4 linked regions of the Sus scrofa genome follow. The protein of the gene in region 1 purifies or fractionates together with the protein of each later gene. This does not show direct contact. Links are inferred from orthologs where the notes say so. Each region holds a gene or a part of one and is shown on either strand. Other genes may lie near its edges.

Region 1 (4,168 bases):
CTAGGGGGTCGAATCAGAGCTACAGCTGCCGGCCTATGCCACAGCCACAGCCACGTGGGATCCGAGCTGCTTCTGCGACCTACACCACAGCTCACGGCAACACCAGATCCTTAACCCGCTGAAGGAGGTCAGAGATCGAACCCACATCCTTGTGGAGCCTAGTTGGGTTCATTAACCATTGAGCCACGAAGGGAACTCCCACATTGGGTATTTTCTTGTTCTATTTTGTTTTACCATCAGTTTACTTATTTGAATCATTTATTAGATGTCACATGCCTGGAAAACTGGGGCTGTTTCCATCTTGTTTACTAGTTTCCACAAATCCTATCACTGTGTTAGAGTTCAACACATATCTGTTGAATCTAGTTGGCTTATGTTGCTAGATAGCGTGGGAACAGCCATTACCCAGAGGTTAAAGTCGTGAGTTCAGGGAGCAACAGTGCATTCACGTCATCTTGTGTCCCAAGCTGGGGTAACTGTAGGTCAGACTGTCAAAGAAATCTGGAGTTTAAATATTCTGTCTCAATGTTTTGTATACTTGACATCTATTATCAATCATTCCGAATGGAGAATCACTAGACGGGCTAAGTAGATTTTGGGTTTTGTTCCCCAGGCCACTCCTCTTAGGGCCTCAGTTTCCCGATCTTCAAAAGGAAGCTGGAGCAGACGAATCCAAACATCTCTTACTCGTCCAGCCTCCTCTGATTTTGCGAGGTGCACCCTAGGACTCCATAAGGGGGATCTGGCTTATGAAAGCCCAGGCTGCTGTGATTTCAAATCAGTTCTGGCTCCACGGTGAATGTGACACCAGCACTTGAACCTGATACCGCCGCCGCCGCCGCCGCTGGCCAGCCTCTTCCAGGAGACTCAAACCTTGCATTTATCGATGTCAAGTTTTGGGGTGCAGTGAACTCACTTCAAAAAGGATCCAATCCCTTGTGACAGGGGTGAGCAGTATAGTCACAGCGATACCAACACTCGCATTCTCTTCGAAGCCAGTGGGAGGGGTCATTTCTCTCCACAAGTCGTTAAATATTTTCCTTCTTGTCCTACAAACTCCTTTCTATTCCACAGAAACCACTATGGGGCGGGAGAGAGTCGCCCGTCATTGCTACGCACGCACACGCATCTTTGGCAAGTCTGATAAAATGCAACTACACAGTTTCTCTTTAAAGTCTTGTCGTTCCCGGAAGGAGTGTCTGTGATTTTTAAAGAGCCCGACACGCTCCCATTTTCTAGTCGGACGCCAAACGGGCGGGACATCAGTGTAACCCGGCTTCCCTCAGGTCCTCCAGCGCTGTGGACGCTCTATGGGACCGCCTCGAAGGCGGGCCGCGTTTCGCGCCTCTCTAGCCGGCTCCTCCTCTCTATGGTCCGTGCTGGGCTTCCGGTGGCGGGACGCGGGGCCGCGCACGCGGGAAAAGCTTCCCCAGCGTCCCCCCCGGACCCCCCGGACCCTACACCCCCGCTGCGTCCCCCAGCGAGCCCACCGCCCGCTTGCGGGCCGTCTGAGGCCGCAGCTTGAGAAAGTAGGTGGTCGCTATCGCCGCGCCCCAGGAAGGCGAGGGCCCTGCTCCCCCGCGGGACGCGTGGGATGGACTGTTCCGCGTTGGAATCCGCGGGCAGCGGGCGAATCCATTTTAGCGGGAGGGGAGAACTGTGGGCCTGGGGCCGCGGCGCGGTGGGAGCGCTGGGAGGGAACTCGTGCTTTTTGAGCGGGGTTGGGGCGCGGGCGAGGTGCGGGCTCCGGATGGCCCAGGGGTTCCGCTGCTCGTTGCCATGGCGCCCGGTGGAGCGCCCAGAGGGGGTGTCTGGTTGGGATGTAAGAGGTACTTCGGGCCGGCTTCTTAAGCCCCGGCCGGGCCTGGCCCTGGAGTTCTGCAGAACCGGCTTGCAGGGTTCCCAGGCAGGGAGATCGTGAGACATCCCAGGCACAGGAAGGGTTGCCACTAGGCTCCCTCCGTGGCCAGCATGAGGTGTTGTTTTTTCCACTTAACTTCAATCCACTTATCCCTCTTCAATTCAGATTCCCAGCCTGCGTTGTGTATCTGCACAACGTACCCAGGAGTTGGGGCCCAGCTCCCAGTTGAGGCCTACAGGGGCAGGTCAGCATGGCAGAAACACTGGAGTTCAACGACGTGTATCAGGAGGTGAAAGGCTCTATGGTAAGAAGGACTGGGGCTTTTGAAACAGATGGAGGGAGGGAGGCGGAGTAGACTTTTTATCCACTCGCAAGAGCTTGTGCTGATGATGTTGCTACTTTGGAAAAGAAGTCAGTTCGATGTGTATTTGGTAGTTCCCCAACAAGAAGCATTACTGAGTGAGGATACAAGAGTTACAGGATGTCAGAGTTTGAAGGGACTACACCTGCTGCTCAATCCTGAATCCCCAAACTGAGGACCTGCACGGGTTCTGGATGCCAGAGCGAGGATTAGAATCCAGATCTTCTGGCCTTACTCGTCTCTTCTTGCCAGCCCTCACCACTTCAGCTGTTATTGCTCCTGCCTGATACCTGACCAGCCCAGAATGGGTGTTGGGTGGGACCGTCCCTGCTCTACGCTATGGTCGTCCCTGTGCATTTGGGCCTGTTTTCCCAACAGAATGATGGTCGGCTGAGGTTGAGCCGCCAGGGCATCATCTTCAAGAACAGTAAAACGGGCAAAGTGGACAACATCCAGGCTGGGGAGTTGACCGAAGGGATCTGGCGCCGAGTAGCTCTGGGCCATGGACTTAAACTGCTCACGAAAAATGGCCACGTCTACAAGTACGACGGCTTCCGAGAATCGGTGAGATGCCCCTTGCCATAGCCCCCTTTACTGTGCCATCTTCTTTAGTTTTAATCTTCTTGAGAGAAGTGGGGCTCCTTCTGATAACCGTGCAGTTGCTAGTTTGGGATCCTTAAAGCAGGACCGTGGAAGCCATTAAGCAGTCAGTGTTCAGCTTTGGGCTGCAGAGTCTCGGGAGTTTCTTTGTGCTTTAACTCCAGAAACTTTTCTACTGTTTTGATTTTTTTTTTTTTTTTTTTTTTTTTTTTTTTTTTTTGGTGGTTTCTGCCTGTTGCCTTATCCAGGTTCAGGGGCTTACCTTGAGGTTTTAGGTTGGTGTTGTTTTTCCATTTTGAACGGCTTGTGTTAAAGACTTTACTTCATTTCCACTTTCACTAAAGGAATACCTGTCCAAAGTCAGAAAAACACTGTGAGACCTGCAAGCAGGAGTGTCAGTCCTTACTTTACTCCTCCCCCAGCCCGAGTCCAGCCAGTCCCCAGAAATAGCCTTTTTCAACAGTGTTTTAACAATATTATAGCTCTAAGTCAGCGTGGATTTCTGATGAAAGTTTATTGGGGTCGTTTCTCAGAAGCAGATAATCTCAGGACCCTCAAGTTCTGTGTTAAGGCTACTGGGGTTTCACTGGGCTTGTTCTTTCCCCTCTTCCCACAGGAGTTCGAGAAACTCTCTGATTTCTTCAAAACTCACTATCGCCTTGAGCTGATGGAAAAGGACCTCTGTGTGAAGGGTTGGAACTGGGGAACAGTGAAGTTTGGGGGTGAGTCCTGGGGAAGATTGAGGTTTGCGGGGAGGAGGTAGGCTGAAGGGTTTCAGCCTTTAACTTGTTTTGCTCTCCTCCGCTGTTTCTGATTTCCTACCAGTTTGTAATTCATCACGTATTTATCGAGGACCAACACTGTATGAGGCACTGTGCCCGGTCCCTGGGGCACAGTGCGAACAAAATGGTCTCAGTGCCCTGTCCTTTGGGAGCCTCTAGGCTGGTAGGAAGGAACATTGTTTATGCGGAGCCGAGGGAAGGAGCTTGTGGCTCAGTGTGCCCTTTCCTACAGGGCAGCTGCTTTCCTTTGACATTGGTGACCAGCCGGTCTTCGAGATCCCTCTCAGCAACGTGTCCCAGTGTACCACAGGCAAGAATGAGGTGACACTGGAATTCCACCAGAATGACGATGCAGAGGTCTCTCTCATGGAGGTGCGCTTCTACGTGCCCCCCACCCAGGAGGATGGCGTGGACCCCGTTGAGGTGAGGCCTCCCCTGGTCTCTTGGGAGCAGATGGTGCTGAGCAGGCCCTGGGTGGCCCAGGAGCAGGATCTCTGCTGCTCGATTGCCAGGGTGTGCTCTTATAGGCCTTTGCCCAGAATGTGCTGTCGAAGGCGGATGTGA
Region 2 (4,126 bases), on another chromosome or scaffold:
AGGTTTATTTATGTACCTCTTGCACACTCATCAACCTATGCAAGTCCCCCACCCCGGCCCCTCCATGTTTCTGTGCCTTTGCTCATTCCCCTCCAACTCCCAGGGCTTCCCCAGTCCTCCTCCCAGCCCAGGGAAGTGGGATGGACAGGGGCCACCTCGTTTGGAATCAGCAGGGTGTCCCTCTTAAGAGACCCTCACCTCCTCCCAGCAGTCCTGTCCTGTTCACTACCCATCAGAGTGAGCTGGGTCTGCCAGGCACTGGGAGGTGGTGAGGGGCACCCCCAAACACAGCGGGAGGCAAGAGCTGCTGCCCTCCCCACCACCTGACAGAGTGTGCAGGACGCAGGCGCCCCACTCTGATGGGCAGGATCCTGACCCACTCCCATCCCTCCCCAGCCCCTGGCCCCTCTGCCATGATTTCACCCTCCCTTTTATCCCTAGCCCCACTGGCAGAATCAGCTTTGAGTAACTGTACAGTTTTTCTCGCTGTTGGAGAAAACTTATTTGTTGGAGTTTCACTTGTTTAATGGTCTGGGCTTATTTTGGAAAAAAAGAAAAAACAAACAAACAAAAAGGATTCTGACCTTTGTTATGCTACATTTCATGGAAAACCTAGTGGCCCTACCTCTGTGGCCTTTGCTTCTGTGCCTTAAGCACCTGTGGGGGTGGGGGTGGGAGGAGGGGGCAGAAGGAGACTGTAGTGCCTGGGAGGGGAAGTAAAGGAAGGTGGCTTTATTAAACAGCAAAGGTTTGGAGGAGGAGAGAGAAACAAAGCAGAAAGCTTGCAAATAGACCACTTGAAAAGTGCCTTCCTGCGCGTAGTAATTGTACCTGCTCCAGCCCTGAAGGCCCTGGGACTCAGTCACTGTCACTGTCAGCTTCACTGGAATCCGAAGCTGCAGCTTCACTGCCATCCTCCTGAGCAGAATGCTCGCTGCCACTGGGGAAGGGACTGGCACTCCGGCTCCGGCTGTGGCTCCGGCTCCGCTGGCCACCCCCATCACTGCCACTGTCCGAATCATTGTCACTGCCTCGGGCCCGTCCTCTGTCCTCATCGTCAGAGTCAGCGTCATCCTCTGAATCAGCATCACTGCCGAAGATCTCTTCTTTGTCCCTGGCAGCCCGGGCCTCATCCTCACTGCTTTCATCCTCGCCGCTGCCGCTCTTGTCACTGGCCTCATCTCTGTCACCCTCCTCTCGTTCACTCTCACTGCCCGAGCGCTCATCCTCGCTGCCTTCCTTCTCACTGCTGCTGCCCTTCTCTCGTTCCTCATCTGTGAAAGGAGCATGAAGAAGTGAGACCCAGTTCTCGACCCTCCCCGGGCTCCCAGAGTTTGGCTGGTCCAGCTTTACCTGAGCCCCCAGCTTCTTTCTCTTCTGTCTCCATTTCCTCCTCCTCTTCCTCCTCTGGTTCGTGGTTCTCCAGCTGGGCCTTCCGTGCCTCCTGGAAGCAGCAGGGGTGAGGGGAAGGAGAGTGTTCTGTACACCTCCTCTCTCTCCTCACCAACCTTCACCCTCCCCGTGGGTGCCCTGGATCGTGGTGCTTGTTACCTGGGCTTCTAACTCCTTCTCATTCATGTCCCGATGTTTGACCACAAGCAGGGCATTGGTACCAGACTGAACCCCAGCCTTGGCCCGGCGCTTACTCAGGCGGACCCTGCAACGGTGGAGTTGGGGGAGAGGGATGTGGAAGAGATTCGGTTAAAGAACTCACCCCTGTGGGGAAGCTGGACTGACTTGGTTCTTCCTTACCCATCCTTACTCATTTACGCTTGGCCCAGAATAAATACAGACTGCATAAGGGAGGCTAAACTTGGGGACAGGGATGACAGCTCCCGAGATAGCAGTGTAGTTGCCCTGCGCTGTGTATGTGTGTGTATGTATGCCCTGTACATATACACGTAAGTGTATGAATAAATAGATTTTAGTGTGAATTAGGTATTAACATTTAGAATTTGGATTTCTGGCTTTTGGAAAATAAGACCCCACTCGGCCCTTGCTGCACCCCCTCCCCACAGCATAGCAGCAGTGGGCTGTGTCATGGTGCCCCTTGGAGGCTGCCAGGAGCTCCAAGTCATCTGGACCCCGATAGCCTACTGTGCTTTCTACCTTTCTTGCTTGGCTTAATGGGATCAAAATTTGTGATCTCTGCTTTAAATAGAAACTCAAGGTCATACTTTCCTTGCCAGTCTTTACACACCAAGGATCCCACCACAGCCGTTTTCGCCATCAGGGAAAACTTTTAGGTGGTCACATGTTGAACTTGGATATCTAGTGTTTCATTTAAAATAGCCATGCTCATTTTATGCATTACTCTATACTTCGGCTATGTTTACTTCCACGTGAAGTCTCTTACTAACATCAGGGGATACTTGGCAGTCTACCCTACGTGAACACTAAACATCTCCAGTATTAGTTAGGTAAAGATTTTCTTCCTGGAGTTCCTGTCATGGTGCAGTGGAAACAAATCTGACTAGGAACCATGAGGTTGCGGGTTCAATCCCTGGCCTCAGTGGATTAAAGATCCAGCATTGCCATGAGCTGTGGTATATAGGTCACAGATTCAGCTTGGATCTGGCATTGCTGTGGCTGTGGCACAGGCCGGCAGCTACAGCTCTGATTAGACCCCTAGCCTGGGAACCTCCATATGCCTCAGGTGCAGCCCTTTAAAAAAAAAAAATGTCTTCCTGGGTTCTTATGTTAGAACCAGGTCTAGCCCGCAAGGGTGATCAGGCTCCTGCTCTTACAAATGCACATGGCAAATCCTTAGGTACAAATGACCTCCGAGGTGGCACTTGCATACCCCAGGGTCCTGAATCTGAAGTACAAGCCCAGATAATCTCAGTGAGGTAGGACAGTGCTAAGTACCTGGTCTCCAATTCATTGTAGTAAACCCCATCCCCCTCTCGGAAGATGAAGAAGTAGTTTTCCTCGTAGCCCTTGCTGGCCTTGTTCTTCACATTCCAGTTGTACTCGCGAGCAATCTTGTAGTCATACCTAAGGATGAAGGGGACAGGGTCAGCCATTTCTTCCCTGTGAAGGAGAAAAAGAGACCTACTCCTTAACACCCCAAACCTAACTCCAACCCACATACACATCATCTGGCGCATAATCCATCTCCTCCTCCTGGTCCCGTTTTCGTTTCTTCAGGGTTTCTTCCACAGGCAGGAAGTAAGCCACAAACTGGTTCCCTTCCTCATCCATCATGCCCCTGGTTGGGAGGAAAAGAGGAGCAGCTAAAAACAAAGACAAAGATGGGCATCCTCTTGTGGTGTATCAGCAGCTAAGGATCTGGCATTGTCACTGCAGTGGGTTGGATCACTACTATGGTGTGGGTTCAGTCCCTGGCCAGGGAACTTCTTCGTGTCGCCCCCCCCCAAAAAAGAATGGGGGTGGGTGGGTGGGGAGGGGGCCAATAAGGAGCAGGCCAAGGTGAGCAGCAGGACCACTTACCTGATCATGGCCTGAGACATCATCTCCAATGCAGCTGCACCACTCGTGTCCTTTGGGGCTGGGTCTGAATCAAAGATCACCTGAGCACATGGGTTGATCCACATCTGGGGGATGGAGGGCACTGGGATTAGAATGGGACAGCCAGAGATCACAGGCGATCCCTCTCTGCCTCCTGCCCTGGATCTGACCTTAAAATCTGGAAAGACAGGCATGACCTCCACTGGTGTCACTCGAGGCTTGCTGTAATGCTGGGAGATCTGATAGGGGCAAAAGCAGGATGAGGAGTACACAGCACTCTGAAGCCACCCCGCTGACTGCCTCCCCCCATCCCAGTCCCTCAATTACAGATTTCTGGGCATCCTCAAAAGTCTTCTCAATAGCTGTGATCTGGCTATCCCTGTCTTTGTATATTTCTTCCTCAGTGAACTGCTGCTTCACAGAAACCCCAATCCTAGGAAGGAACAGAAAGGCCTTTAGGGACCACTAGACGCACCTGATATCTCCACCTTCCCTCCCTACCCACCAGCTTACTTGACCTCAGGCTTCTCATTGGAAATGCCGTAACGATTGAACTCCGTGGAGATATACTCTGTCTTCCGCATCCATGGCACCACCTTCGCATGCTGCTGGGATCTGGGATGGAAGGCTCAGGCACTTTAGGACCCCATCGCCC
Region 3 (3,500 bases), on another chromosome or scaffold:
TAGATAATCAAAAACGATTTAATTCTCTTGGTGGGATTGATAGTATTCCTAGGAAATGGATGCTAAAATATTTGGGGACGAAGTATCTTGAGTTTTGCAGCTTCTTTCAAATACTACAGTAAAAGTATGTGTGCGTTTTAGGAAATGTTAACAGTTGTTTTGAGGTGGAGAGTATAATAGATGTGAAGTTTTTCATAAAATTTCCCTGACAGTTTAGAGGAAGATGGAATACAGAACAGATATTTAAAGTCAGTTTGAACAAAGAGAAAGAAGTATTTCTTAATGAGAGTAAAAGTGAAGTTGAAGTTTTTAATAGTTGTAATCTCTTAGCAAACTGAAAGGACTTTTATGGTAGAGATTTTTTTTTTTTTTTCCCCCCCTAGGGCTGCTCCCATGGCATATGGAGGTTCCCAGGCCAGGGGTCTAATTGGAGCTGTAGCCACTGGCCTACACCAGAGCCACAGCAACGCAGGATCCAAGCCGTGTCTGTGACCTACACCACCACTCATGGCAACGCCAGATCCTTGACCCACTGAGCAAGGCCAGGGATCAAACCCGCAACCTCATGGTTCCTAGTCAGATTCATTAACCACTGTGCCATGATAGGAACTCCTGGTAGAGAATTTTTAAGATGAATGTTGGCACATGTCAGAAGTATGTAGGAGTTGCCATTGTGGCTCAGTGGTTAACAAGTCCAACTAGGAACCATGAGGTTGTGGGTTCAATCCCTGGCCTTGCTCAGTGGATTAAGGATTGGGCATTGCCATGAACTGTGGTATAGGTCACAGACGTGGCTTGGTCTGATGTTGCTGTGGCTGTGGCTGTGGTGTACGCTGGCAGCTGTAGCTCTGATTAGACCCCTAGCCTGGAAACCTACATATGCCGTGGGTGCGGCCCTAAAAAAAAAAAAAAAAAGTCTGCAAACTGGTAAGATAATTTAGGATATGTCAATAATTGTGGCATTTAATTTAGATTGCATGGCATTTGAAAAAGATGACTTCTCATTCTTGGCCATTTGTCTTTGTTACAGGTTCGTATTCAGGAGACTCAAGCTGAGCTTCCCCGAGGGAGTATCCCCCGCAGCCTAGAAGTGATCTTGAGGGCTGAAGCTGTGGAGTCAGCTCAAGCTGGTGACAAGTGTGACTTCACAGGAACGCTGATTGTTGTGCCTGACGTGTCTAAGCTTAGCACACCAGGTCAGTAATCTGTGGCTCAGATTTAACAAATTCTTGGTTACCTAACCTACAGAGTATCTGGTTTCTTGTATCTTCCTTGTCTTGTTTTTGGCTACCAATCAGAGGATGAGCAAGGAACTATGACGAGAATAAAGACAAATTGGTTTTGCTATAGAAGGTACTGTTCTGAAAAATTTCAAAGTCTAAATAAGTTTCATTTAACTGAGCAATTTTGATTCACAGCACCTTGAATATTTGAACTGTGAAACAACCTATCCTTCGATCTTTCAGGAGCACGTGCAGAAACTAATTCCCGTGTGAATGGTGTTGATGGATATGAGACAGAAGGCATTCGAGGACTCCGGGCCCTTGGTGTTAGGGACCTTTCATATAGGCTGGTCTTTCTTGCGTGCTGTGTTGCACCGACCAACCCAAGGGTGAGTTTTTTTTTTTTTGTCTTTCGTCTTTTAAGGGCCATGCCTGTGGCCTGTGGAGGTTCCCAGGCTAAGGGTCTACTACTCCACAGCCAGAGCAACGTGGGATCTTAGCCACATCTGTGACCTACACCACAGCTCACGGCAATGCCAGATCCTTAACCTACTGAGTGAGGCCAGGGATGGAACCCATGTCCTCATGGATGCTAGTCAGGTTCGTTAACCACTGAGCCATGACGGGAACTCCCTAAGGGTGATTCTTAGAATAGCAAAGCTTGGGAAAGACATCTGCTGATGCTGCCACAAAGTTATAATCTTCTGAAACTCGGTTTTAAAGGCAGGGGGGTGGGTTGAGATTTGTTCTTGAAAGCAGATGTTTTTGTGTCTGTCTGTCCCACCTTAAAGAAAAATCTTACTTGTTTTCATGCATAAGCACCGAGTACTTTAAAAGCATTGGTACAAATAATCCATAGCGTTTTTGTTTTTTTTTTTTTTCATTTTTAATTGTCGCAGTCCCTCTGTCATGCTCCTTGAGAAAGTATAAATAGAAAAACTTTAGTAATCTGAAGGTACAGTATAGCACTCTTTCTGAGAGTGACGTATCCCTTGTATTATAGTTCAGAACTTGATTTTGTGTCCAGGATGGGAAAGCAGTGAAAAAATGTTTGGACAGTAGTTTAGTACTGGAAAATGAGAGGGAAACATAATACTCTGTTACTTCTTTCATCCTCATATCAGTGATTAACATTTTATTATGGCTCATCTCTTGAGTATCTAGATTCATTTATAGCAATACGAAAAAATGGTAGCTTTTTTGTTACTTTTAATTCACTGGACAGATGATAAGTTCTTCAGTGTCTTGATAAACTTAGCCCATAGTGGTTAAGAAATAGTTTTTTATTTTTTTATTTTTTATTTTTTTTGTCTTTTTGATATTTCTTGGGCCGCCCCTGCAGCATATGAAGGTTCCCAGGCTAGGGGTCGAATCGGAGCCATAGCCACTGGCCTACGCCAGAGCCACAGCAACGCGGGATCCGAGCCGCGTCTGTGACCTACACCACAGCTCCCGGCAACGCTGGATCGTTAACCCACTGAGCAAGGGCAGGGACCGAACCCGCAACGTCATGGTTCCTAGTCGGATTCATTAACCACTGCGCCACGATGGGAACTCCCGGAAATAGTTTTTTAAAATAGGGCCATACTCATGGCATATAGAGGTTCCCAGGCTAGAGGTTGAATTGGAATTATAGCTGCTGGCCTATACCACAGACATAGCAATGCCAGATCCGAGCCATGTCTGCAACCTACACCACAGCTCACGGCAGCACTGGATCCTTAACCCACTGAGCGAGGCCAGAGATCAAGCCTATGTCCTCATGGATGCTAGTCCGATTCCTTTCAGCTGAGCCACTATGAAAACTGGTTAGGAATTTTTTTAAAAAAAAACTTTACAATCAACAGATTTTGAAGTTTACCTCCCAGGCTTTATTTTATTTGTGCTGACATTTCTTCTCTTTCACATTATTTTGACTATTTCTGTACTACTGTTTTTTCCCTTTCTTCTCCACCATTCAGTTTGGAGGAAAAGAGCTCCGAGATGAGGAGCAGACGGCTGAGAGCATTAAGAACCAAATGACTGTGAAGGAGTGGGAGAAGGTGTTTGAAATGAGTCAAGATAAAAATCTATACCACAATCTTTGCACAAGCCTGTTTCCTACTATACATGGTAAGAGTCCTTTTATCCATTTGTGGTCTAAACTTGAAATCAAAATAATGATTATATTTTTTAAATTTTTAATTTTTTTCTATTAAAAAAATTTTTTTTTTTTTGTCTTTTCTAGGGCCTCACCTGCAGCATATGGAGGTTACCAGGCTAGGGGTTGAATCGGAG
Region 4 (3,500 bases), on another chromosome or scaffold:
AATAATGCACAGGACTGCTACCCGTAACAAAGAATCCTCTGGTCCAAAGTGTCAATGGTGCCGACATGGAAAAGACCTAATCTTGTCTCTTGGACAATTCCATCTTATAAGAGCTCTCAATGCCAGGCGCATCAGTAGGTACTCTTAAGATTGTGGATTGCTGTCATCATTACTCAAGGAGTACTTTATGGATAAGACATAAAATGTGGGACTCATAGGCTTCAAGGGCTTTTTAAGACAAGCCAAAGGGCCCAACGTTGAAATTTATGAAAATTTATTTTCTGTATTGGAAAACGCAGATTTAGAAGCAAATTTTTATATTCCTTAAAAACAAACTTAACCCAAGTAAGAAATGGGTGAAAGATTTGAATTAACAATTGTCCAAAGAAAAGATGTGTAACCTGATCATTCATTATAGAAATAGCAAAACCATAATGAAATACCTCTTCAAACCCACTAGAAAGGCTCTAATCAGAAAGATAAACAGTAACAAGTGTTAGTGAGGATGTAGAGAAACTGGAGCCCCCATACATTGCTAATGGGAATGTAAAATGGTTCAGCCACTTTGGGAAATAATTAGGCAAACTCTTGAAAAGTTTATTGTAATTATAGCCCAGCACTTCCACCTTTAGGAGTCTACCCAAGAGAAATAAAAACATATGTCCTCTAAAAGACTTTTTTTTTTTAACTCCTTTTTTTTTTTTTTTTGTCTTTTTGCTATTTCTTGGGCCGCTCCTGCGGCATACGGAGGTTCCCAGGATAGGGGTCGAATTGGAGCTGTAGCCACCAGCCTACGCCAGAGCCACAGCAACGCGGGATCCGAGCCTCGTCTGCAACCTACACCACAGCTCATGGCAACCCCGGATCGTTAACCCACTGTGCAAGGGCCCAGACCGAACCCGCAACCTCATGGTTCCTAGTCGATTTGTTAACCACTGCGCCACGACGGGAACTCCTCAAAGACTTTTTTACATCAGCAGTGTATTCGGTCACTGGAATACTACTACAAGGAAAAAAAGCAACATGGATGAATCTTAGAAACGTTATGCTTAGTGAAAGAAGATAAAGAACTGTATAGGGAGTTCCCGTCATGGCGCAGTGGTTAACGAATCCGACTAGGAACCATGAGGTTGCCGGTTCAGTCCCTGCCCCTGCTCAGTGGGTTAACGATCCGGCGTTGCTGTGAGCTGTGGTGTAGGTTGCAGACTCGGCTCGGATCCTGTGTTGCTGTGGCTCTGGCGTAGGCCAGTGGCTACAGCTCCAATTCGACCCCTAGCCTGGGAACCTCCATATGCCGCTGGAGCGGCCCAAGAAATAGCAAAAAAGACAAAAAAAAAAAAAGAACTGTATATATTATTTCATTTTATGAATGTCCAGAAAAGGCAAATCTGTAGCAACAGGTGGTGGATCAGTGGCATAGGTCACAGCTGTTGCTGGGATTCGATCCCTGGCCCAGAAACTTCCATGTGCCATGGGTGTGGCCAAAAAAAGAAAAAAAAAATCTTAGCTGCGTGTCAGTGGTCTTACAGGAAGCAGTTTTCTCCTTCAGAGTCATAATTCTTTAACTGGATCAGGGATTGTTTTTAAGGAAAATTCTAATATTAGAATACATCTTAGTCTACAAAACCCACGTGGGATTTTGTAAAAGACAGGCCACACTGCCAGTATATTTAGATGTCATTCTTCATGTCTACATGGGTTCTTACATGTCATTTGAAACTGGCATGAGGAATGACTCCACTGAGGTTCCTAGATCTGGTTTTAGGCACACCAAATTAGACCAACAGATTCATGTACGTTTTAAATTCATGCGACTAATAGTTGCTTCCAGCCATAGGTAGAGACAAATGCCCAAAGAAATATGTAATTTCCCCCTTTTAAGAAATCTTCATGGATTTCCTGCTGTGGCATTCTGCAGCACCAGGATGCAAGTTCAATCCCCGACCTGGTACAGTGGGTGAAGGGATCTGGTGTAGCTGCAGTGTCGGTCTAAACTGTGGCTCAAATCTGATCTCTGGTCCAGGAACTCCATATGCTGCAGGGTGGCTGAAAAAGGGAAATCATCATAGTCCTTGGTGACTCCCCTCCACAGCCCCCATTCTGCTAGCATAGTGTGCTCAGAGAGCAAGGGGTGCCTTCTGAAGCATGTTTTTTGTTGTTGTTACAGACAGTAAGCTGCTCCTTGGGAGACTATTCAAATCAAACTGGTGCGAACAAGTACTAAGAATATGCTTGCATTGGGAGGAAGGTGATAGAGGGTTTGCTTACTTTTCTCTGTGCTTTCTTATCTAATAGGCTCTGGATTACTGCCACAGCAAGGGAATCATGCACAGGGATGTGAAACCTCACAATGTCATGATAGATCACCAACAGAAAAAGGTACCATTACAGCCAGGCAGTGCAAGCCTTTCATTGAAAGACTTTGGCCAGTACCTAGCTGGTTTATAAAGACCCATGTTGTTTTTTTCTTTGGAAGACTTGTGATGTTGTATTTCTTCAGTCTCCAGTGTACTTGGCGTAAGCATAGTACACAAGGAAAGTAGACAGCTGACCCTAAGTGTAGTTACTTGTTTACCTTGATGATGGTTTTCCGGGGGGCCTCAAGAAAGAAATTACGGTTGCTGATTTCTACTTCCTTTCTTAACGATCCTCAGACCAGTCGGCCTGGCCTTATGATTAAAAAGTACACTTGGATGCCACCTCTTTTCAGTATTCAGTCCTGATTGTACCTCACTGGTGAATAAATGAATTAGCTAGTGTTAGATTAATGAAAAGCTAGAGCAGTGCTTCAGTCCTAGAACAGGGCACATGCTCCATTTCTTTCTGTTATGACTAGAGCTTTATAATGAAAGCTGTCAATAATGAGGTGGATGTGTTATCACATGCAACTGGATGGAGGCAGAATAAAAACTTAAGCTTTATTGATCTAAAGAGAATGATAAGGAGTCCCTTTTGTGGCTCAGCAGCTTAAGAACTCAAACCCTTGTCTCTGTGAGGGTGCGGGTTTGATCCCTGGCTGGCTTAGTGGGTTAAGAATCCAGCGTTGCCACAGTATAGGTGACAGATGTGGCTTGGATCTCACATTGCTGCAGCTCTGATTCCACCCCTAGCCTGGGAACTCGAATGTTCCCCAGGTATGGCTGTAAAAAGGGGGAGGGGTAAAAAGAATGATAAGCCAGGATAATTTAAATTTTTAAAAGAAAAAGCAAGTAAGATTCCAGGTGCTCTGCTTTAGAAATAATCTTAAATGTAGTTGCTGAAAGTATCAACAGTGTACTTTATGTGGCCAAATACTTATCTAAAATGATGTGGCCTTGTTGTAAGACACAGGCATCTAAAAAACATTCCTTTCCCACGTTTTATTTGCCATACTTATAGCTGCGACTGATAGACTGGGGTTTGGCAGAATTCTATCATCCAGCTCAGGAGTACAATGTCCGAGTAGCCTCGCGGTACTTCAAGGGACCAGAGCTCCTTGTGGACTATCAGGTAAAATTGTT

The links. The genes of interacting proteins can lie anywhere in the genome.
Region 2: the proteins of SSRP1 (region 1) and PAF1 fractionate together in Homo sapiens (co-fractionation; 3 studies listed by BioGRID and IntAct, with this or other methods). This does not show direct contact. The link is inferred for Sus scrofa from reciprocal best matches to the Homo sapiens genes SSRP1 and PAF1.
Region 3: the proteins of SSRP1 (region 1) and MCM6 purify together in Homo sapiens (affinity purification with mass spectrometry; 4 studies listed by BioGRID and IntAct, with this or other methods). This does not show direct contact. The link is inferred for Sus scrofa from reciprocal best matches to the Homo sapiens genes SSRP1 and MCM6.
Region 4: the proteins of SSRP1 (region 1) and CSNK2A2 purify together in Homo sapiens (affinity purification with western blotting; 3 studies listed by BioGRID and IntAct, with this or other methods). This does not show direct contact. The link is inferred for Sus scrofa from reciprocal best matches to the Homo sapiens genes SSRP1 and CSNK2A2.

The regions. Positions count from the first base shown.
Region 1 is NC_010444.4:13,618,353-13,622,520, forward strand, and holds the start of SSRP1 (FACT complex subunit SSRP1), read left to right. Parts: upstream 1-1,368; 5' UTR 1,369-1,529; intron 1,530-2,026; 5' UTR 2,027-2,111; coding exon 2,112-2,165; intron 2,166-2,600; coding exon 2,601-2,786; intron 2,787-3,438; coding exon 3,439-3,544; intron 3,545-3,836; coding exon 3,837-4,027; intron 4,028-4,131; coding exon 4,132-4,168. UniProt on the Homo sapiens protein: Component of the FACT complex, a general chromatin factor that acts to reorganize nucleosomes. The FACT complex is involved in multiple processes that require DNA as a template such as mRNA elongation, DNA replication and DNA repair.
Region 2 is NC_010448.4:48,045,987-48,050,112, forward strand, and holds the end of PAF1 (RNA polymerase II-associated factor 1 homolog), read right to left. Parts: intron 4,087-4,126; coding exon 3,985-4,086; intron 3,905-3,984; coding exon 3,799-3,904; intron 3,711-3,798; coding exon 3,454-3,710; intron 3,212-3,453; coding exon 3,095-3,211; intron 2,998-3,094; coding exon 2,869-2,997; intron 1,658-2,868; coding exon 1,552-1,657; intron 1,445-1,551; coding exon 1,354-1,444; intron 1,275-1,353; coding exon 859-1,274; 3' UTR 501-858; downstream 1-500. UniProt on the Homo sapiens protein: Component of the PAF1 complex (PAF1C) which has multiple functions during transcription by RNA polymerase II and is implicated in regulation of development and maintenance of embryonic stem cell pluripotency.
Region 3 is NC_010457.5:15,933,638-15,937,137, forward strand, and holds part of MCM6 (DNA replication licensing factor MCM6), read left to right. Parts: intron 1-1,030; coding exon 1,031-1,196; intron 1,197-1,466; coding exon 1,467-1,612; intron 1,613-3,184; coding exon 3,185-3,335; intron 3,336-3,500. UniProt on the Homo sapiens protein: Acts as a component of the MCM2-7 complex (MCM complex) which is the replicative helicase essential for 'once per cell cycle' DNA replication initiation and elongation in eukaryotic cells.
Region 4 is NC_010448.4:19,985,725-19,989,224, reverse strand, and holds part of CSNK2A2 (casein kinase II subunit alpha'), read left to right. Parts: intron 1-2,295; coding exon 2,296-2,379; intron 2,380-3,378; coding exon 3,379-3,489; intron 3,490-3,500.